Canis lupus familiaris: one gene and its partners. The protein of the gene in region 4 interacts with the protein of the main gene of each other region in a pairwise test. Links are inferred from orthologs where the notes say so. Each region holds a gene or a part of one and is shown on either strand. Other genes may lie near its edges. The genes, in order: EEF1A1, TNFAIP3, TANK, IKBKG and EPAS1.

Region 1 (4,755 bases), on a different chromosome or scaffold from region 4:
GCCACACACGCACAAAAAAAAAAAAAAAACAAATGGTCCACAAAACATTCTCCTTTCCTTCTGAAGGTTTTACGATGCATTGTTATCATTAACCAGTCTTTTACTATTAAACTTAAATGGCCAATTGACACAAACAGTTCTGAGACCGTTCTTCCACCACTGATTAAGACTGGGGTGGCAGGTATTAGGGATAATATTCATTTAGCCTTCTGAGCTTTCTGGGCAGACTTGGTGACTTTGCCAGCTCCAGCTGCCTTCTTGTCCACTGCTTTGATGACACCCACAGCAACCGTCTGTCTCATGTCACGAACAGCAAAACGGCCTATTAAAACAAATTTTAGATCACTATCAGAAACTGTATCAGAAACTATACACAAATAGCACGTCCTAGTGCTTCAGTAAGTTTTCTAATTATGCTTAAATCATTCTTACCCAGAGGAGGATAGTCAGAGAAGCTCTCAACACACATAGGTTTGCCAGGAACCATATCAACAATGGCAGCATCCCCAGATTTCAAGAACTTGGGACCATCTTCCAGCTTCTTTCCAGAACGACGATCTATCTTTTCCTTCAGCTCAGCAAACTTGCAGGCAATGTGAGCTGTGTGACAATCCAGCACAGGTGCATATCCAGCACTGATTTGGCCTGGATGGTTCAGGATAATCACCTTGGAGGAAAAAATTGCATTTAATACATTTCAAACAGGATCTAGCAAAGAGAACATTGCCACTCTTAAGTGTGTTACCTGAGCTGTGAAGCCAGCTGCTTCCATTGGTGGGTCATTTTTGCTGTCACCAGCCACATTGCCACGACGAACATCTTTGACAGATACGTTCTTGACATTGAAGCCCACATTGTCCCCAGGAAGAGCCTCACTCAAAGCTTCATGGTGCATTTCAACAGACTTTACTTCAGTTGTAACATTGACTGGAGCAAAGGTGACCACCATACCAGGCTTAAGAACACCAGTCTCCACTCGACCCACTGGGACAGTACCAATACCTAAAATATTTAGAAGCATCGTGTCAGATACCTTCTGTGAAGAACAATCCATAAATCGTATTTTTAAATGGCAATGTTCAACTTACCACCAATTTTGTAGACGTCTTGGAGAGGCAGACGCAAGGGCTTATCAGTTGGACGAGTTGGTGGCAGAATGCAATCCAGGGCTTCAAGCAGTGTGGTTCCGCTGGCATTCCCATCTTTACGGGTGACTTTCCATCCCTTGAACCAAGGCATCTAAAAAAACAAGATTGTCCATTAGCATTCCCCAAACTGTTGTCATTTAGTGTCAACATATGCCTCTTCTATCACTTCCTCAAAGCCTTGAAGTCACTTACGTTAGCACTTGGCTCCAGCATGTTGTCACCATTCCAACCAGAAATTGGCACAAATGCTACTGTGTCGGGGTTGTAGCCAATTTTCTTAATGTAGGTGCTGACTTCTTTAACGATTTCCTCGTATCTCTTCTGGCTGTAGGGTGGTTCAGTGGAATCCATTTTGTTAACACCAACAATTAGTTGTTTTACACCCAGTGTGTAAGCCAGAAGGGCATGCTCACGGGTCTGCCCATTCTTGGAGATACCTGCTTCAAATTCACCAACACCAGCAGCAACAATCAGGACAGCACAGTCAGCCTTTAAAAGACAAAAAGACATCCTGTTAAATAAATGTTCCTCAAAAAGATGAACTCCCCCTTTTTTCCCATACAAAACCCAAGCCTACAGTTATTTTCAAGTAATCCTACAAACCTGAGATGTGCCTGTAATCATGTTTTTGATAAAGTCTCTGTGTCCTGGGGCATCAATGATGGTCACGTAATACTTGCTGGTCTCGAATTTCCACAGGGAGATATCAATGGTGATACCACGTTCACGTTCAGCTTTCAGTTTATCCAAGACCCAGGCATACTTGAAGGAGCCTTTTCCCATCTGTAAGGATTAAGAATGGTTACTTGGTAACTTAAACACAAACTTCCAACTTGAAATCCCTAACTCCTGCTTAAGCAGAAATGCGGATTCCACTTTACAGTTAGGTAGTTCTATCTCCCAAAGTTACATAGATAAAAAACTCTTCAGCAAGCACAAACAATCTACCACAAGCAGCAGATTCTGATAGACTAGTAACTAGTTTTGGGGAAGTTGACACTGGCCGACTTTTTTTTAACGATCTCTCATTAAGTTAGTATACCAACCTCAGCAGCCTCCTTCTCAAATTTTTCGATAGTTCTTTTGTCGATCCCACCACATTTGTAGATCAGATGGCCAGTAGTGGTAGACTTGCCCGAATCTACGTGTCCAATGACGACGATGTTGATGTGAGTCTTCTCCTTTCCCATTTTGGTTTAGGTTTAGCGGTGGTTTTCACGACACCTAAATTTTAGGGTAGGAACAAACCCTTTTAACTACTGTCCCGGAGGCTTGAAAATAAGCCACGACCAAACTCGCAGAGACCAAATTCCAAGAATTACAACCAGGGCCAAGCTGGCCCAACTCTCGTCTCCACCCACCAAGCGTGGGGTTAACTCCACCGCATAAAATCCCCTCCCCCCTCCGGGGAAGGCCTGCTTGTAAGGCGTTGAGGCGGAATGGAGGTGCCAAGACGGCGTTCGGTACACCGTAGGGTCACAGGAAGCAGCGGCCTAACAGGGAAAGGCCCTTTTCCTTTGTGTGGGTGACTCACCCGCCCGCTCTCCCGGGCCGCCGCGTCCTCCATTTTGAGCTGCCTGCAGCAGGGCCGGAGAGCGGCCATCTTTCCGCGCACGCAACTGGTGCCGAGCGGGCCGGCCTCTCCGCCCGGCGTAGGACGGTACATCGCGGCGCGAGGCCCGGCACCAGAGCCGCCCGGCCCACTCCACGGGACTCTCCCGCGTCCGACGCGGCGCCCACGGCTCGTGGGCCTTCCCCGCCTCGTCGGACATGTGCGCCGGGACGAGCGGGCCTCGTCGCCGCCCTCCGCGCCTCGCGGCGGCCCCACACCCCAAGAACGCGACGACCGCGGAAAAGCCCACCCCGTTCAAGTCCTGACCAACCTCCGCTCAACCATCTCGACGGAGAAAACCATAGCGGCCTTCTTTTGGTAGGTCAAACGTCTGGAGGCTTAAACCACTGTACGAGGGCAGGCAAGAAGGTGCGGCGGAATTCGCACGCGGCCGCCACAACACCCAAGCCAGGCCTCAAACCAACCACGAGGCAAAAGGGGTCCTAAAAAAAGGCGCAAGGCCTGGAACCTTCCCACCCACTCACAATCCGAAATTCGGGGTCAAGAACATCGTAAAGTGGCTCGGTGGCGCGGCCGTTGTAAAAGGCACGCGAGGGCCGCTGGCAGCTCAAAGAGGCCAGGCCCGCGGGAGCCACACCCGGCACTCACCTGTGTTCTGGCGGCAAACCCGTTGCGAAAAAGAACGTTCAAGGCGGCTACGGCACTTATATACGGTCCTCCCCCACCCTCGGGGAAGAGGGCGGAGCCAGCACACGACACCACTTTCCCAGTTTACCCCGCGCCAACTCCATCAGGCACCGGTTCGGTCGCCATCCCCTCCCCCTACTGCTCGGGGACCGTGGGCGATGTGCGCTCAGCCCACTAAAGAGCGCACATCTCCTCGCGCATGCTCCTCTTGACCCCGATGACGGCGAGAGTGAGTGGGTGGGGAGGCGGGGACGAGCTTTCCGCTCGTTCTATGTTAGTGAGAGTTTAACGACGGTCCCTGGGATTCCCCGAGGCTGAAGCGAGTCCTCCTTTGTATGAATTACTCTCAGCTCCAGCTGAAGGGGCGGGCGGGGGGGCGAGGAGGCGGCCCTGCGGGGAAGTACTGAATCTGCCCTCTACGGTTCCTGGTTTAACTGCAAAGATGGTGTGGCGATTGGAGTACGCCTTCCCTCCGCAGTATACCTCCAGTTCTTAACCTGGTCCTCTCCAAGGTCCAGGACTGCCCCTTTGAGCCGCTTCCTCCGCTCGTCGCAGGTCCGCCCTGGGCTGGCTCCTCCCTCGCCCCTGCCTTCTCTTCCTCTCGGGGCTGGAGAGTACAAGGCCCGGGCTCCCAGGGCAGCGAGGGACCCGAGGGGCCGCCTTCACAGCCGGAGAATCCGCAAGGGTTTCAACTCGGTGGCCGTGACCCGGACGAATGTGCTCTTGGGCTAGCCTTTTGGCTTGTTCCAGTCCGAGCCCGCTGCTTTTACCGAAGCCCGAGTCACACGTTCACCCCATATGGTACTCCAGACGTCTAGTTCTTCAGTTCAGAATAGATTTCAATCCCACAGTCTGCCTTTTAACTCTAGTTTCATTACGTTATAGAAAGACCCTATGTGTGTCTACTCTCGTGGTACATTTTTTCTACAGTGTACACTCATTTGATTGCTAGCATGAGCAACCTAAAAAGAATTTTTCAAATTCAGTCTTTCCGCATGATCTCAAGTAGAAACTAAGATCTACGGCTTCAGCAAGCTTATCCACCCAATTTCCTATCCCCAACACTTGCTGCGAATCACTGCTTCTTAAAGGTGGCCTAGCCCATTTAAATAAATTAGTTCATTTTCTGTTAAATGGATTTTAACTCCATTTGAGCATAAATTTAGGGCGAAACCGGATGAGGCCTTTTTGGTTGGCAATCAGGGCAGACTGAGAAATACTTTCAAGAAGGAACTTTTATTTTTAATGAGCTAGTTACTATATCAGTATGTCTCTTCCATGTGTGGAACATCACTGCAACTCCTCCAGCCAATCTGTTAACAAATGCTTGAAACCTACTATGTGTCC
Region 2 (4,978 bases), on a different chromosome or scaffold from region 4:
CTTGAGATTTTAAGTCTTGGAGGATCTTTTCTGAGAGTAATATTTAAGACCCAACAGCGTTTACCTTGGAGTAAACAGGCCCAGTTCCAATCACGGCTCTGCCACTGACCGACGGTGTAGACTTGGGGTAAATGGCTTAAGCTTCTTACACTTTAATTTCATAGCTTCAAAGTGGAGTTGTTTTGAGGCTTAAGTGGCAGAGTGCCTTTCAAACACTTAGCCTAGAGAGCGGCATATAGTAAGGACTTAATAAACATTATTATTATCATATTCCCTATGCGTTGTTTGAGAGTTGGTAGCTAAAAACATTTGTGAATGAACAGCTTATACCAGCAGGTATAAGAAGAAATGCCAGGAGGTTTGGAGTTGTCAAAAGTCCCAGCCATTGGTTTCAAATGGCCAGCACCAGCCTTGGAAGCTTGGCCACTTCTGACTCTCCGCTCTGAGTGTCTCTTTGCCAAAAATGTGCCACCTGGTCCTCATCCAGTCCTCCATCCAGTCTCTGCAGGTCCTTACTGGAGAGGAAAGCATATTTTTCTAATTCCAAAACTGGGATACGAGGCCCAACTAGTATAAGTAAGTCTAGAAGGGGACAATGCACAGAATATTTCAATCTGGTTCTAGTTTAGCTATTCTAAGAAATGCGCCAAGGGGGACTCTTAGCCAGTCAAAGTGCCTGCCTCTCCCTCTGCAATTCAGGCACCTCCACTGTCCAAGTGGCTGACACCTATTTCCACAGGACGTCCTTTGGGTAAAGACTGCGGGTTACCACACTATTTAATAAGGGGTGGGGGTCGTGGGTGGGTAAAATGTATTATCAGCCCTTGACACCTTGGCCTGAACTAATTGTCAGGTCATGAAAAAGAGCTCCTAATAGGGCCTTAGGGGGGCCACGCAAGGACAGTAATAATGGACTAGAAATGATTTCTAAACCGAAATGTTCCTGCGTGCCGAGCCCCCTGGGCACCTGGTGTGCAGGAAGGGAGAAAGGGAAATCAGTAAAGTGCAGAACAGGGCTGATAGTTGCTCTGATTCCCAACTTCACCTAAGATAGGTTTTGCTCCTGCAAATTTCAAGGCTGTGGGGCCTCAGGAGGTCACCCCCAACAGGCCGCCGTCTGGGCGGCAGAACGCTGGGATGGGGACGCACGGAGGGTTGTGAAATCCCCACCGGGGCCCAGAGTAGGGCGCTCCCCGACGAGCTCATCACGTGCACAGCCCTAGCTTTTCCAACCCAGCCCCGAAGGCTGCGGTCCCGGACGCCCGGGTGGTTTTTAGGGTTTTCTTTCTTTATTATTTCCCTTATTGTTCTCCACGGTTGGTGATTTTCTGCAGAAAAACGGCTGAGAAAAAAGAACCTATTTCATTTCCAGTTCCCATCACCGCGATTTCCACATGGATGTGACGTTGGGCCAGCTTCCGAAATGCCCAGGTGACTCACGCGGGGACACCCGGGGGCGGGGCTCAGGAGTTTCTCGCGCGGGGGGGCGGGGCGGGGCGGGGCGGGGCGGGGCGCCGCCGGCCTCCTGCGCCGCCCGCGCCCCCTGCGCCCCCTGCGCCCCCTGGCGGCCGGCGACCGCGGGGCTCGGCGCCGGCCCGGGCGTCACGTGACTGGAAAGTCCCCGGGTGGAAATCCCCGTTCTCCGCCGGCGGTAAAACAGAAAGGGAAAAAGAGAACTGGCAGTCTGCAGTCCTCGCAGCGGGCCGGTGCAGCGCGCTCGGAGCCCGCGGGGGCGGAGCGGTGACAGCAGCCGCCGGGACAAGTGCGGCGGCGGCGGCGGCGGCGGCGGCGGCGGGCGCGAGCCACACAGCCCCGCGGCGAGCGAGCGCCGAGCCCCGGCGTCCATGGGGCGCCTCCTCCGCGCGGCCCGGACCTGACCCGGACTTGGGACTCTGGAAGAGGATCGCGCGGCCGGACAGGTAACCGCCGCGTGCCCGTGCCTCTGCCAGCGGCGTCGCGGGGCCCGGGCTGCGCGGGTGCGTCACCGGCAGCTCCTCGCGGGCGGGAGCTTGTCGGCCCGGGCCCGGCCCGGAGCTCGTCGGCCGTCGGCGCTCACTGCGGGATGTGAAGTGCTGGGAGTCGAGGCGGCCGCGCACGACGCTGGGGTGACAGCTCGGGAGCCCTCCGGCCAGCTGTTCCTTGTAGATGCTGCCAGGAACGTAAGCTGCAGCAGGCGGCTGGAGAGGAGCCCCCGGACGGCCAGGTCGCGTGGTCCTCGGTGCTTTGCCCCTTTGCGTGCCTTTTTTATTTTTCGATCAAGCTCTGGATGCTCGCGGACACGGAGACCTTGCAGAGCCGACCCGCCGTGGCTTCTTCCCGGCGGGTGCAGAGCCAGGCCACCCGCCGGGCGGGGGGGGCGTGGGGGCCCGGGCCAGCCAGCCTGCCCTGGGTCGGCTTGCAGACCCCGCAGCCCAGTGCAGGGAGGCGGGTGGGCGGAGGGCCGGTGCTGAGCTGCTGCAGGCGCCGCAGTGCGCGAGGAGTGTGCATGCTCAAGCGGGACGTTGGCCGGCTTTTCGGGTGCTCCAGTGGACGGCGACCTGGAGGCCCCTGCCCCAGCCCCTACCCCACAGTCAGACGGTCGTTGTCAGCCCGGGTCGTCCCACATCCTGCCACCTGGCCTCTCAGGAAAGCAGTGGTATTAAGTAAGGAAGGAGCTCAGCGCTTTTGAGACCGCTTTGTTTTCAGTTCTCCCCGCCTCTGATCTTCTTTCCTTGGAAAGCTGGTCTGGTCAAGTGTCTCAGGGCAGCCTTTGGGGAGGACCGTGGTTCATCAGTCCCCTGGACCTTAGCACTAGTGTCTGCAGTTGTTACGCAGCCGGTTATAGCTCCATTCCCATCGTCTAAGGTGCTTCTTTGTTTTTTGTTTTTTTTTTTTCTCTTTTTAACAATTCTGTGTACAAGTTTTGGAGTTTAGGAGTGAGAGTTACCAAAAATTCGATGAGGCATTTATTGATTTAAAAAAAAAAAAAAAAAGTCAGTGAGGTGACAAATGTAAAAGAAATGGTAAGGGTGATAGCATATGTCTTTACCTGTAAGGACGTTACAGTTATAGGTCAGGAAAATTTATTCTTTCATCTTAAACGTGGAGAAGTCCGAGAACTGGGAACTTGGCTGGTGGGTTCTAATTCTTTTCAGGAGGCGATCGATTCCACAGTGTGTGCAAGGCTAAAACTATGAATGAGATGACCCAGGGCTATACAGTACTGACATTTGCATGTCTTACATATGGCAAAGAGCGCTTGTGCTATTTGAGGTCTTTGCTGAAAGATCTTTAAATTAGAAGAGATTAAGAGAAGATTCGGAAAACTCAAAAGGCAACACCTAGCTTGTTTCAAATCTTTTTGCTTCCGGCCTCTTCCCGTCTGGCAGCAGCAGGCACAGGGATGGTGTTGTGGGAACTGCAAGGGGCAGGTGTTGGAAGATCTGGCTTCCAGGCAAAGCTGTCTGCCTTGGGTGGTGTGGAACCTGAGCAGGACCCGTGCTTGTGTTGCCATGGCTGTGGACAGGGAATAAGGGCACCTGTGATTTTTAGTCCCAGCATCCAGCATGGCTCTCAGCAGGTGAGCAGGCAGTGCTTTTTAAGCAATGGACAGATGAATGAGTGATTGTGAGACTGGCCATGCCACAAAGTGGAAATGGGTGTAATGTTTTTATTGCTTCATTATGCTTGTGCCCTGCAATAATTTTGCCCAGTTCCACCTTCAGGGAACTGAAGGAAAGATTACCAACTGGCCCAGAGAATAACTTCTCCCAGGCCTCATTGACAATCAGATTTGGAATCCTGGTCCAAAACTATCACCAGAAAACTCCTCAGAAGCAACCTTGGGTCATCTACTTTAACCTCTCTATTTTGGACCACAAGTTTTAAATCACTTCATCAATGGCTTTAAGAGAGCCTAGACCCACCTAGGAATGGCTTCCCTAAAATCTAGGTTTCTTCTCACTCTTACACAGGTTTCAAGTCTTCCTCAACTAGAAGCTTGCCCTGGCAAATAGTATGGTGCAGGAGTGAGATTAGCAATCTCCATGAAACTTCCTAGGGAATGTCTTCATGCTCCAAAACCATCTTTGCCTTCATCTTGGAAACCAAGATGTATGTTGGGGCACCCTGCTAAGGCTTGTGGCTTTCCACACAGCTCCACACTGCAGAGATCCCACGTTGCATCAATTCACAACATCCTACGCTATTGGCATGGGTTGTAGATGCTGGGTTTTGCACCACCCCCCTCCCCCCGCTTCCTTCATTTATCATGAGCATCCCCCTGGCTGAAACATCTTTCCTTGCCCATTTCCAGACTTTTATTTCCTTCTACCAGCAGATTATGTTTCAGGATTCCAGGGTGAAGACAGGGTGGGAAATGCATTTGAGTGTTGGTACCTGGACAATGATAATAAATGTAGTTAAGTTGAAATAATTGAAATCTAATGCCTGCTCTCGGAAGTGTAAAATTTATTCTTGTATTATTATTATTATTATTATTATAATTCTATGTCCTATTCTGATGTTGTGAAGTTCAGTGGAGAGGTTCTGAAAGACTTTATCATTGACCGTTAAAATTGCAAAGCTTCTTACTGGAAATAGGCTTTTTCATTGGTTCTAAGATATTCAGTTTTAACTTTTATAAATATTATAATACATTTTTATAAATAAGCTCTTGATAAATATTTCTCTTCGGGGCTAAAGAGGAAACTCTAATCAGCAGCCTACGTGACAACATAAAATTGTGAGATTTTCCACAAAACATTTATTCTGCAGTGTAGGGTGGGAGGGCTTAAAAGAGATAAATTAAGGCTTTGCCTAAAAGCCAGGGCTGCTCAGCAGTGGTCTTAAGGGAGAAGCTAAGGACTTGTCAGGGCCACCTTGTGCCCGTCACTGGCATTCAGAGCTCCGAAGACCCAGTGGCTGTGTCAGAGTGGCATGCGAATGAGAGGGGAGCTTGTTGGTTATGAGGTGCAGTACCTGTTGCCGACGGATGGGC
Region 3 (3,961 bases), on a different chromosome or scaffold from region 4:
CCCTTCACAGTGAATACCTAATAATCGCTATGTCACCTTGGTGAAGAAGATGTCAATGTGATGTGCTTGGCACCCTGAGAAGTCGAGGCACCATTTTCATTCTTCCACGAGTTAAGGCTTTTTACTGGGGCACAGGGGCCTCTCAAATTCCCCCATCCTAAAATCCTCCAATTTTTAAAAACATTTCCTCCAAAGAAGGCTTAAATTCCTGTTTTGAAAGCTGCAAATCAATGTGCACTTTATAAAATGGAAGCCATGCCTCAAAGAGTTTTAAAAATCGGAGGCAAAGGGAAACCTGAAAAACAAGCACCACAGGGAAGAAAAATGAAAGAGACACCTTATTTTAAGAAATATTTTGCAGCCGTCGGATTTGGTATCCTCTCTCTCAAACGTCTTCCAGTGGCCATCAGGCTGCTGACAATGAACCACACATTTCTGAACAACAATGTAAATACTTATAAATCAATCAATAAATGTGGATACTCCTTATAGGGCTTTTTAAATTTGCTCCCTGGAAATACAAGTGTTTCTTTAGCAAGTTTAGTTTGAAAAATAATTACTAAATTCAAAGTGATCTACTACTCGTAATTAAATGTCACCAGATCTGATATCACCCTTCTACCATTAGAAAACATGAATGTTATAAACTTCCCCCAAATGTAATTTATTTCTTTATTTTTTTCACTCAAGAACAAAGAACACATGTAAAGATCACAACATAAGTAACTTTTTAAATATTTAACTAATTTTCATCATGTAGCTATATACATAGCAAAATTTAAAACCATGTATATTATTTAACAAAACAATCTAAAGTATTTAAATAATTCTAACCAGTGATTTTATCCCTGGGCAACAAATGTCTTAGGTTTGGCATTTACCTAGGCATTTATGTTGTCTGCTGTTCTGTATTACAGGTTTACTTAAAAAAAAATAAAATCGCCTATAGCATAAATAATCTAATTTTAGGTGAAAAACCCCATAAACATTTGACATCACCAAATTCAACAGATCTAACTAGAAATCCAAGCAATAAGCTTAGATGTTTGAAACAAACATAAATTAAGGCAATAAACACTGTAAACATGAATACAATGAACTACAGCTTTGTACAGAATGATCTTTTAAAAGAGAAGAAAGTTACAATGTAAGGTTAGAAAAAAAATTCATAGCTATTATTCACTAAATGATCTTGAACTAAGTTTGCAATCAAGTATCTATAGTATTACAAACCCAAGACCATCACCCAGACCTGGATGATCACATAGACTCATCCCACAGGACTGTCTTCAAGTGCATCTTAAGTCTCCCCATTAAAGTGGGAGTTCAGGTGCCGCAGGAAATCCCCCCTGGATGTAATGGATGGTGGGAAAACAGCTTGACAGAATTCACAGACCCGAGGGATAGGCAGCTCTGAGTCCCTGCCACCCAGGACCGAAGATAAGTCACTGTCTTGATTAGGAAAGGGCTTCCAAATGGGCTGCAGGAAACAAACAAAAACATCTTCTGTTATTTGTACTTACAATCAACTTACAGTGAATTTCAAATGCGGGGTTTTCTGCACGGGGTATGCGCATAAACACAAAATTCCCTCACAGGAAAGCAAAGTACCTTTCCATAGCATTAGCATGAAGACAGGACTCTGGTCTCGGTTCATTAAGGGCACAGCTGAACTTTGATTAAGAGTCACTGAAAACACATACATGCGCTTTATCTTCATCTAGTCAAAGATTTTCCAGTTTTACCATCAGCAAATTTTAATGTCTGTTATCATAATGGCAGTAGTTTTTGGAACAGTCAATAAGACCTTTTAAAAATTAAAATTTCTCTTTACTATTTTCCAACAGAAACCTTAAGTTATAGGGCTCTTATTAATACACAGTACACTAGACATGATGTGTGTAAACATGCATTCTGATCAAGAGCCATTTAAATTTCGCTACTTATAAGCAAATACACAATGAATAAAACATATAGGAATAGTGTGGTTTTGGTGAAAGAATTTTTAAAGTACTAAAATTCCACTGATCAGTTGTTTTTTGAAACCTCAAAATTTTAATCATTCAACAAATCTAACATAAGATGCATTCTTTTGACTTATTTTGCTCTTGCTATATATACTGCATAGTTTTGCCTTCTTTACTCTTTCTTGTGACTGAATACAGTGAGACTTGTCAATAGCTGCCTAATTAAAGAAGTATGAAAAATTCAAAGGGACTATCTCCATTATAAGCAACACATAAATACTCTGGAAATACTGCATTTATTCTAAAAAATCTAGTAGGGCAAGAAAAAGCATTTAGTTCAATAGTAGGTGCTCAATAAATGCTTGTTGACGGTCTTATTTTCCTGAATATTATAAACCAAATTATTTAAAAAATTCACGGGGATCCGTGGATGGCTCACAGCAGTTTAGTGCCTGCCTTCCGCCCAGGGCATGGTCCTGGAGTCCCGGGATCGAGTCCCGCATCGGGCTCCCTGTGAGGAGCCTGCCTCTCTGCCTGTGTCTCTGCCTCTCTCTCTGTGTCTCTCATAAATAAATAAATAAAATCTTTTAAAAAAAATTCACTTTCTTGTATACCTTGACACAAAGTAAATTACCTTCACACAGCTAATTTCTGATACTTTGAGGAGAATTACCTCAAAAACTCAATTTAAATAAAGAGACCCCTTTGGCCTCCTATGACTAATGTGTTTTTAAAGTAACAGCCTAGTTCAACACCTGATACAGTGTTAGTTTTCATTCCCTTAACCAATCTCCCATTCTAGTTAACCAATCATTTACAATAAACAAGTGTATTACTAATTGAAGCAATTGAGTTTCAAAACATCACTGTCTTCTTAAAAACATTTTACCGGACAGCTGTGTACAGTTGGTGTAAATATACAAAGTCTGCTAGGCACCGAGATATATTCAAATAGCAGAACAGAGGCTTCTAATAACACTGACTCAATTCCCTTTTTAAGAAGTGACAATTTTATCACAAAAACAGTAATATTTAAAATATTTTAAAGTTTGGGGTAAGATAATTTTCTTTAGAAAATAGGATTAAAAGCAGTGATAACTGTGAGAAATAAGCAAAAATAAGTTAGAGTTAACCAGATTTAAATTTTACTGTTTTCAGTTTAAACAAGAAGTACAAGTGATTAAGATGATCACTTTCATGGGAAACTGATATGGATATAAATAAAAGATTGTTCCGTTAAAGGTAATTCTTATTAAGATCTATAAAATAGGAAGAAATAAGCTTAGAAGCAATTTAGCTTCTAAATTTGGTAAGCCAACCTTCTACTGCCAATTTATCTTCAAAGTCCATGTTTATCCTTCTCTATTAGGAGTTACTGGTTCAGATTTGATCTTTTCATAGAATTCAGTTGGGACCCCACTCACTGACTCAGCAAAAGTAGGAAGAAAAGAAAATCACATACAGTAAAAATAAGCAGATATATTTTAGGCTTTGTTATGATAGCTGAATGTATAAAAAGGTATTAAGAAGTAGTGATTGATATAAAATAAAAATCTGAAATATGTAACCCAAATTTTTCACTTCTTTGTCATTATCAACAATTCAAGAATTTTGTATTTATCATACTAGTTTTATTAATACAAATAAAATGGCAAAATGTTCTTAAAATTTTAAGAAATATTCTTTCAATCCTAAACTGCAACATGGCCTTCAAAACAAACTAATTTCTTTGCCTTTTCTGCCAAAATATCAATTATCTAACCTTATGCCCCATGTCTTGTGACAGCTCAACACCAATTCTTCTGCATTTTTTAAGCTGAATACTTTTCCATCAAGTTGTAATCACATACCAGCTGTTTCCCTTGCTGTAGCATAGAAAGCAAATGCACAATGCAGGGTGCCATCTACTGAAACATGAATGCACAGACTAACTAGTAAAAGAACAAGCAAGAGATATAATGGGGGAAAAAAGTAACAAGCATTAGAACTGATGC
Region 4 (3,109 bases):
ATGGGGGGCTGAGGGCATCTGGGAGGGAGCAGCAGACCTTTGTAGGATGGCAGGGTGGCAGGACCCACAGGTCTCAGCTTCGTGGCGGCATGTGGTGGACTGTTAGCACGGGAGAGCAGCTGAGCGTGGAGGGGATGGCCTCAGGAGGGAGGATGGCCCTGTCCGCTGAAAGGTTAGAGGTGGGCTGTCCGGCTGGGGATTCTGGGAAGGGAGTGTTGGCCTGGGTGGGAAGTTGTGCCACATGATGTCAAAGGTTCCCTGTAGCCTCTGCCTTTCCTGTGCCGTGCACGCCCTGTCGTCTTGTGCTCTCCACCACTCCAGGGTTGGCCAGCCAGGGCCCATCTTTCATTGATTCCTTTTGGTTCTTCTCACCTGGAGCAGCAGCCGGCCTGGTGGCAGCCTGGTGCCTGCCACGGGCCAGTTTGGGCTCCTGCAGTTCCCCCTTGCCCGTTCCTAGGGAATGCAGCTGGAGGATCTCAAGCAGCAGCTCCAGCAGGCCGAGGAGGCCCTGGTGGCCAAACAGGAAGTGATCGACAAGCTGAAGGAAGAGGCCGAGCAGCACAAGATCGTGATGGAGACCGTCCCGGTGCTAAAGGCTCAGGTGAGGGCACTTCTCTGTGGCCCGTGTGCGGGTCAGCCGACTGGGCCTGCTGGGCCCTGGGCCCTGGTATGTATGTCCCTGGTGTCATTTTGCGGTGGCTTCACGGAAGCCCTTTGAGCCCCTTGCTCTTCCTTGATCTGTCTGCGCTTGGCGGTGACTCTCTGTGCCCCGGCTCTGGGAGGGTGGGAGCCGGCTGTCCCCGATCCCCCAGCAGGCAGTGAATGGCCCACAGCTGGCGGGCGTGCCCCTCTCTTGGCTTTGCCAGGCGGATATATACAAGGCCGACTTCCAGGCCGAGAGGCAGGCCCGGGAGAAGCTGGCTGAGAAGAAGGAGATCCTGCAGGATCAGCTGGAGCAGCTGCAGAGGGAGTACAGCAGGCTGAAGGCCAGCTGTCAGGAGTCGGCCAGGTGGGCCTCGGAGGGCCCGCCCCACGGGGGGTGGGACTGGGTGCGGGGGTCCCGGTGGTGACCGCGTGCGTGTGTCAGGTTAGGCTGAGCCGGCCCTCCCTCTCCGCTCTCCCTCTCCTGCCCTGTCCTGCCCCATCCTTCCGTTGGCTCCGTGCATACTTTTTTTTTTAAAAGATTTTATTTATTTATTCATAAGAGAGAGAGAGAGAGAGAGAGGCAGAAACACAGGCAGAGGGAGAAGCAGGCTCCATGCAGGGCGCCTGACATGGGACTCTGTCCCGGGACTCCAGGATCAGGCCCTGGGCCGAAGGCAGGCGCCCAACCGCTGAGCCACCCAGGGATCCCCTCCGTGCATACTTTTGATCTGACAGTTTCTCTTCTCAAAGGATTGAAGATCTGAGGAAGCGGCACGTGGAGGTCTCCCAGGCTCCCTTACCCGTCACCCCAGGTGAGTGAGCGGTCGGAGAAGGGATGGAGAGGGCAGGGTGCCAGAGAAGGGCCCATCTCGCCTCCCCAGAGTCACTGTCCCGAGTGCAGTCCCCTCCTGGGGACGGGGCGGGCTGAGAGGGAAGACGCAAGCGGCGGTGACCCCAGTGGCCGACCCGACAGGCCTAGCAAGTCTCAGTCCTCTCTGATGCTTCCTCTCTTTCTCCAGTTCACGCCTCCTTTCACGTGCCCGTGTCCATCCAGAGGAGAAGCCCCCCCGAGGAGCCACCGGACTTCTGCTGCCCCAAGTGCCAGTATCAGGCCCCTGATATGGACACCCTGCAGATACACGTCATGGAGTGCATCGAGTAGGGCTGCCTGCCAGTAAGCAGCACAGGACGGCCCGGTGCGAGCTCTCCTGCCGCACGGTCCAGAGTTACGGGCTAGGTGACACAGAACAGGCCACTTCTGTGCGCCCCACGAGCTAGCTCTAGGACCTTATGCTTCAGCTCCCCCATCTGCTGGTTTGCCTCTTTTAGGGCCCATGGAACCCCGGTTAGGCCTGATGCTCTGCTCCTTTTGCTCGTTCTGTCCGCTTGAACTGCTTGCCCTGGGGCTCCCTCTGTTTCCACGTCCACTGGGGAACTCAAGAATCAAGGCCAGGGCTCTCAGAGAACTTCTCAAGCCAAGACGGGCAGAAGCCTTGCCTCCCGCCCACGCTTCCACACACCGTGGCCCCAGCACCCTCGTGGGCCGCGTGGTATTCCATTTGGAGGCTGCACCGCCGGCCCATTTTACCAGTCAGCTTCAGATGAACACTTGGGCCCTCGCCACTCACTGTCACAAACGATGCTGCACTGAACATCCTTGGGCGTCACTTACGTGTCTCTTTGGGTCAGGGTCTTAGAAGCAGCACCGCTGAGCATCGAGCCCTGCCCACACGAGGGGTGCCCGGCCTGCGGGCTTTTGCCATTTGTCGGGCACGGCGCTCTCTATTGAGCCTGAGTGTGTTTGTGGAGCTTGAAGGACCTTTTCGAGTTCTGCTCTTAATGGCTCATTTGTACGTTTTGCCCATTTTTCTGTTGGGCTGTAAGTCTTTTGTTCCTCAGTGGGTTTGAGCTCTTTGGTCACTGGTGGGATGGGCTCTTGTGTATGATAGAAACTGCCACTGTCTTCTCTTCCTCTAACTTTGTGTGAGTGTGTTTTGGGCTTGAAGTTGGTCATCCTTGCGTGGCCACGTCTGTGCACCTTCCCTTCCCTGCTTTGGGTTTACCATTGTTGTGACGGGCTCATGGTTTGACAGGGAGGTGCTTCCACATGCGCACTTTTCCTTTCCTTTTCCGACCGACCACCACTGCGTGCTCTTGTCCTCCCAGAGAGTGTTGCTGCTCTGTGTGGTGGCTGCCTTTCATCACGTTGCAGAAGCTTGTGATGCTGCTCCCCACACCAGCCCCAAATGCCCCAGCCTTGTGAAGGGAAGCCACTTGGTGACAATTGGCAGGTTCTGAACGCTAGAGGGCCCCTTACTGTTGCTTTGCAAGATTTCTGGCTGTTTCCTCGGATGCCAAAGCCAAGGGCTGCCAAAGCCAAGGGCGTTAAGCCCGCAGTTGTCAGCAAAGGACATCAGAAGTGGAGGAAGAATGCCCTGGCCTCCCCTGGTTGGGAATGGGGTGT
Region 5 (4,216 bases), on a different chromosome or scaffold from region 4:
GGCCTGAGCACAGGACGAGCACCCAGGGTCCGTCCATGGCCTGCTTGTACAGTAACAGCTGCCCTACTGGCAGAGAGACTTTCACTCGGCAAGTACTTAGGTAACATGCTTAAGTACTGGGCACAGTACTGATGGGTCCTATAGGACCCTGATGTACACAACAGGACGTACCCAAAAGCCCATGCAGAAAATGATACCCTCGCTGTTGGGGGGTAGGGTGTGCAGCTTAGTGATGATGACTCCCTGTATGGCACAGCGCAGGAGCGGAAGCAGATGGCATCAAGTACTGAGCAACCCCTCGGGAGTTCAGAGGACAGAGCAGGAAGGGCTCAAGCAGGGAAGTTTTGCCGAATTGCGAGAGCTTGCGCCAGGCAGGCCAAAGAGACCAGCTGCGCAGCAGGGGGACTTGTTAGAACAACTGGGCCTGAGACGAAGGGGGCTGAACACTTGTCCTTGGGGCACTGTGAAACACGCACCCATCTCATCCCTGTTCTTATCATTTTTAAGAACCCCCACCTCTGTGCATTCCTGAAAAGTTGTGTGTAAATGAAAATCTCTGCTAGATGCCATTTTAAAATGCATTAAAAGTTATTTCAGAATCCTAAGATGAAGGTGTGTGTGAGGAGAGTTACTGTTCCTTATTGTTTATGAACACCTCACAAATCTGGACATGCTCTTTAAACACAGGGCTTCTTTAAGAAAGGTTCTGTGGCTTTCTCGGTGCACAAAAACTCAGCCTCGGTAAAGAGCTCCCAAGGTGGATTTGGTGAGCAAAGCAGAGGGCAAAGGTAGGAGAAGGGGACTACTGCAGGCCCCACTTCCCCTTTATGACCAGGGCCTTGGCCACATGCCCCCACTGGTCTCTGCGACCGAGGACAAAGGGACGGGGCTGCCAGAATGGCTGTGAGCCTTCGTCTCCCCTCCTGCCAGTGGGCAGGTGTAGCCCATCTACCTGAGTGCTGCCCTGGTCCTTTGCCTCTGTGTCCATGGTGAAGAGCTTCTCGATCACCTCAATCTTCAGATCATCATTTAGAGATGTGTAGTAGTCTCCGGGGCTGCTGGGCTGGGGGCCAGGAAGGAGAGACACCAAGTCAAGAGTAGGGTGCTGGTCTCCCCAGAAGTCCCAGGTGAAAGAAGTATGTGTCTAGACTCACAGACTCAGCTCCATTCCATGGAACAAGTATGTGTAGAGGGACCCCTGCTGACAAGTAGGGCTGTGGCCGGCGGGGCTCTGGAGACCATACAGCTATCTGCCTGGAGCAGGACGGTGACTGTCCCGCACTGGGACCGAGCTACAGGCTCAAAGCTGTGTGCAACTCGGCCCCCATCTCCAAGGAACTTAGGGCGTAGATGGGGGTGCAGACAGTAACGGCAAAGGCTGGGGCAGCAGGCAGGTAAGCATCCGTCCCCACCACTCTACGGGGTTCTGGGCTCACTGGAGGGGCATGCGGGCATATTCCTGTTTGGGCTGTCTACTCGGCCATCCTGCAGCAGTTAAAAGGAACAGCCCACCCTTTCCATGTCCTCACCCCAAGGCAGGGTGCTCACCGTGGAGCAGCTGCTGCTGCTGCTGGTGGCACTTGGGGTGGCGCTCCCGGAGGCCGCCGCTTGGGGCACAGTGAAGGCGGGCAGGCTCCCGTCCTCGCTCTGGGTGCTGTGGCTCCTCAGCTCTCTGGGCCACGGCTGGCTTGGGGGCAGGAGGGCGCTGTTGTAGGATGAGGACTCCTCGAAGCTCTGGCTCCCTGCAGAGACAAGGGCCTGGCTGGTTAACACCCACGGCCACTGGACTGGCCACTGGGCTTACCCCTGGGCAGAGAGCCCAGAGGGTGCTCAGAAGGCCCTAGGAGGGTCTGAAAGCAGGCCTGGGGCTAGGTCCTCAGCCTCCGAGGTTGGGCCGCAGCAACGAGCCCCTACCAGGGACTGTGAGGCAATGAACTATCTCCCTTTGAAGGGAGCACCCTCCTGGAGGATTTCATTGTCAGGGACTACAGGTACTGGGACCTACTTCCTCGACAGGTAGTCAGCAATGTCCACGAGGAGGGGGTTGTAAGAGGAAAACAGGGCAATTTGCCTCAGTACTGCCACAAAACTGGGAAGCCACAAAACTCCTCGTCCTGGGGCCGCTGCCCTTTATAGTTTCTGAAGTTGCAATCCCCAGCTGGCCTCTGCAGAGCACTTCCAGAGGGCACAAGCCACTCTGGGATGAGCACAGGGAGGTGCTGCTGGCCCTGGGCCAGGCTGGTGAGGGTGAGGGGGCTCACAACCTGGGAACAGGGACACATGGAAGGTGCTTCCAGCATGGGCGGGGAATGGGCTGAAACTCTGCCTGGGGCCACAGGACACAAATCTCCACTGGACAGAACAACATTTCTTTCTTTTTTTTTTTTTTTTTTTAGAGCACATGCACAGGGTTAGGGGGAAGGGCAGAGGGAGAGGGGAGAGAGAATCTTCCAGCAGATTCCACGCTCAGTGGGGAGCCTGACACAGGGTTCAGTCTCACAACCCTGAGATCATGACCTGAGCTGAAATCGAGTGTCAGATACTTTACCTACTGAGCCACCCAACGGCCCTATGGACAGGCCAGCATTTTAAAGAAATAGTGCATATGAGGGCATCATCCTGGGCCAGAATCTTTCCTCCAGCCATATTTCTGGAACTATTTCTATTATTTCAGCCTGCCCCTCTCCCTAAACGAGCAATCTGTCCCCAGGGGATGGGGATTGGCCCTCACTGTGAAAACAGGCCAGCGGCCTCCCTCATCTCAGGCCCTCACTGCCCGTGTTGGAGAACCAGTGACTCCTCAGAAGAGAGGCCCCCGGGCAGCCCTGGTGGCTCAGCGGTTTAGTGCCACCTTCAGCCCAGGGCATGATCCTGGGGTCCCTGGATCGAGTCCCACATTGGGCTCCCTGCATGGAACCTGCTTCTCCCTCTGCCTGTGTCTCTGCCTCTCTCTCTCTGTGTGTGTGTCTCTCATGAGTAAATAAATAAAAATCTTTAAAATAAAAAAAATAAAAATAAATAAAGAAGAGAGTCCCCCACAACCCCACCCCCTGCTCAGGACCTTGCAAAGTCAGCAGCAGGACCATCTTACTCCGCACCATGTGTCGCTCTTGTGCTCAGCACAGTCTGGCCACCAGACCATGGAAGGGGCAGGGGTTAAGGAAGAACTGAAGCCAGGGAGGCCTGTTCCAGTAAGAACTTCCTCCCCACCCCCACCTGCACCCCACGAGAGGGTTCAGCAGGCCCCTGTTCAGCTAAGAAGCACCCACCGAAATCCAGAGAAATGATGGCATCTCCTGCAGTGGGGGCCAGCTGGGCCAGCTCCTCGGGCTCCTCCTTCAGCTTGGTGAACAGGTAGTCACTCTTGTCGGATACCGCCACCTCGCCACTGCTGTCGAAGAGGCTGGTCATGGCCATCAGGTGGGGCTTGAACAGTGATTCCGTCTGGTCCATGGAGAACACCACGTCGTTCTTCTCAATCTCACTGGTGGGACGAGAGGTGCTTCAGACCACCCACGTTTTCTAGCAAAATCCTTTTACGCCCCCCACCCCCCCCCCAACACATGGACAACCGGACAGCTAACCCTTTCAGCCAAAAAAACATGGGTCCAGACGCCTGCTAGCATTTGTAAGGAACCACACGGCAAACTTTGGGGTCATGGAGGCAGCAACCTGGGGAGCGCCCTCTGGATATGGATGCGTCTTGGACGCTGTCTTATTACTGTGTGGGGGCTGCACTGTACACACGGGTGTGATGGTTTCTGTTTTTGTTTAACACTAGCAGTGACCAGCTCCAACTTTCTCCCCAGGCACCATGGAGCTGTTACATCTCTCCTGGAAAGCTGGAGCACTATCACTTTCCTTATTCCTCATTTTATTAAATGACAATTATGCTGTCTGCCTCCCCATGTGGGTCAGAGCCATGACACAGATGACAGATGGGGGAAGACGCAGGGGTGGGGGTGGGGGTGGGGAGAAACCATTGGGGAGGGGAAACCCCAGACATCCGAGAGTTCCTGAGACACCTGTGAAAATCCTCCGGGTCCTAAGCACTGCACAGAGCTCGCAAAGGTAGTGCCAGGGTTTCCAGTAGGTCTGCCTTCCCCGGGGCCTGCTGCCCTCCGTCTGGGGAGCTCAGGCATCCTGCACACCCAGCCCTGTGGCCCCGACAGGCTTACCTCAGGACGTAGTTCACGCACATGATGCACTGGGGCTG

What was found.
Region 1: the proteins of IKBKG (region 4) and EEF1A1 interact in a two-hybrid assay, tested with the Homo sapiens proteins (2 studies listed by BioGRID and IntAct, with this or other methods). The link is inferred for Canis lupus familiaris from reciprocal best matches to the Homo sapiens genes IKBKG and EEF1A1.
Region 2: the proteins of IKBKG (region 4) and TNFAIP3 interact in binary tests that used the Homo sapiens proteins (3 or more experiments, as listed by UniProt). The link is inferred for Canis lupus familiaris from reciprocal best matches to the Homo sapiens genes IKBKG and TNFAIP3.
Region 3: the proteins of IKBKG (region 4) and TANK interact in binary tests that used the Homo sapiens proteins (3 or more experiments, as listed by UniProt). The link is inferred for Canis lupus familiaris from reciprocal best matches to the Homo sapiens genes IKBKG and TANK.
Region 5: the proteins of IKBKG (region 4) and EPAS1 interact in a two-hybrid assay, tested with the Homo sapiens proteins (2 studies listed by BioGRID, with this or other methods). The link is inferred for Canis lupus familiaris from reciprocal best matches to the Homo sapiens genes IKBKG and EPAS1.

The regions. Positions count from the first base shown.
Region 1 is NC_049233.1:35,819,974-35,824,728, forward strand, and holds the start of EEF1A1 (elongation factor 1-alpha 1), read right to left. Parts: upstream 3,307-4,755; intron 3,192-3,306; coding exon of another isoform or gene 3,083-3,191; intron 3,020-3,082; coding exon of another isoform or gene 2,919-3,019; intron 2,373-2,918; 5' UTR 2,339-2,372; coding exon 2,195-2,338; intron 1,932-2,194; coding exon 1,752-1,931; intron 1,638-1,751; coding exon 1,341-1,637; intron 1,240-1,340; coding exon 1,089-1,239; intron 1,003-1,088; coding exon 746-1,002; intron 668-745; coding exon 433-667; intron 323-432; coding exon 198-322; 3' UTR 1-197. Other genes in the region: uncharacterized protein LOC119874198, read left to right, coding at 2,919-3,019, 3,083-3,191, 3,307-3,637, 3,964-4,209. UniProt on the Homo sapiens protein: Translation elongation factor that catalyzes the GTP-dependent binding of aminoacyl-tRNA (aa-tRNA) to the A-site of ribosomes during the elongation phase of protein synthesis.
Region 2 is NC_049222.1:30,482,790-30,487,767, forward strand, and holds the start of TNFAIP3 (tumor necrosis factor alpha-induced protein 3), read left to right. Parts: upstream 1-1,783; 5' UTR 1,784-1,919; intron 1,920-2,880; exon of another isoform or gene 2,881-4,978. UniProt on the Homo sapiens protein: Ubiquitin-editing enzyme that contains both ubiquitin ligase and deubiquitinase activities.
Region 3 is NC_049257.1:7,114,835-7,118,795, reverse strand, and holds the end of TANK (TRAF family member-associated NF-kappa-B activator), read right to left. Parts: intron 3,899-3,961; exon of another isoform or gene 3,730-3,898; intron 1,481-3,729; coding exon 1,301-1,480; 3' UTR 644-1,300; downstream 1-643.
Region 4 is NC_049260.1:123,436,237-123,439,345, forward strand, and holds part of IKBKG (NF-kappa-B essential modulator), read left to right. Parts: intron 1-457; coding exon 458-601; intron 602-866; coding exon 867-1,009; intron 1,010-1,395; coding exon 1,396-1,457; intron 1,458-1,664; coding exon 1,665-1,807; 3' UTR 1,808-3,109. UniProt on the Homo sapiens protein: Regulatory subunit of the IKK core complex which phosphorylates inhibitors of NF-kappa-B thus leading to the dissociation of the inhibitor/NF-kappa-B complex and ultimately the degradation of the inhibitor.
Region 5 is NC_049231.1:49,679,694-49,683,909, reverse strand, and holds part of EPAS1 (endothelial PAS domain-containing protein 1), read right to left. Parts: coding exon 4,179-4,216; intron 3,485-4,178; coding exon 3,270-3,484; intron 1,743-3,269; coding exon 1,549-1,742; intron 1,064-1,548; coding exon 953-1,063; intron 1-952.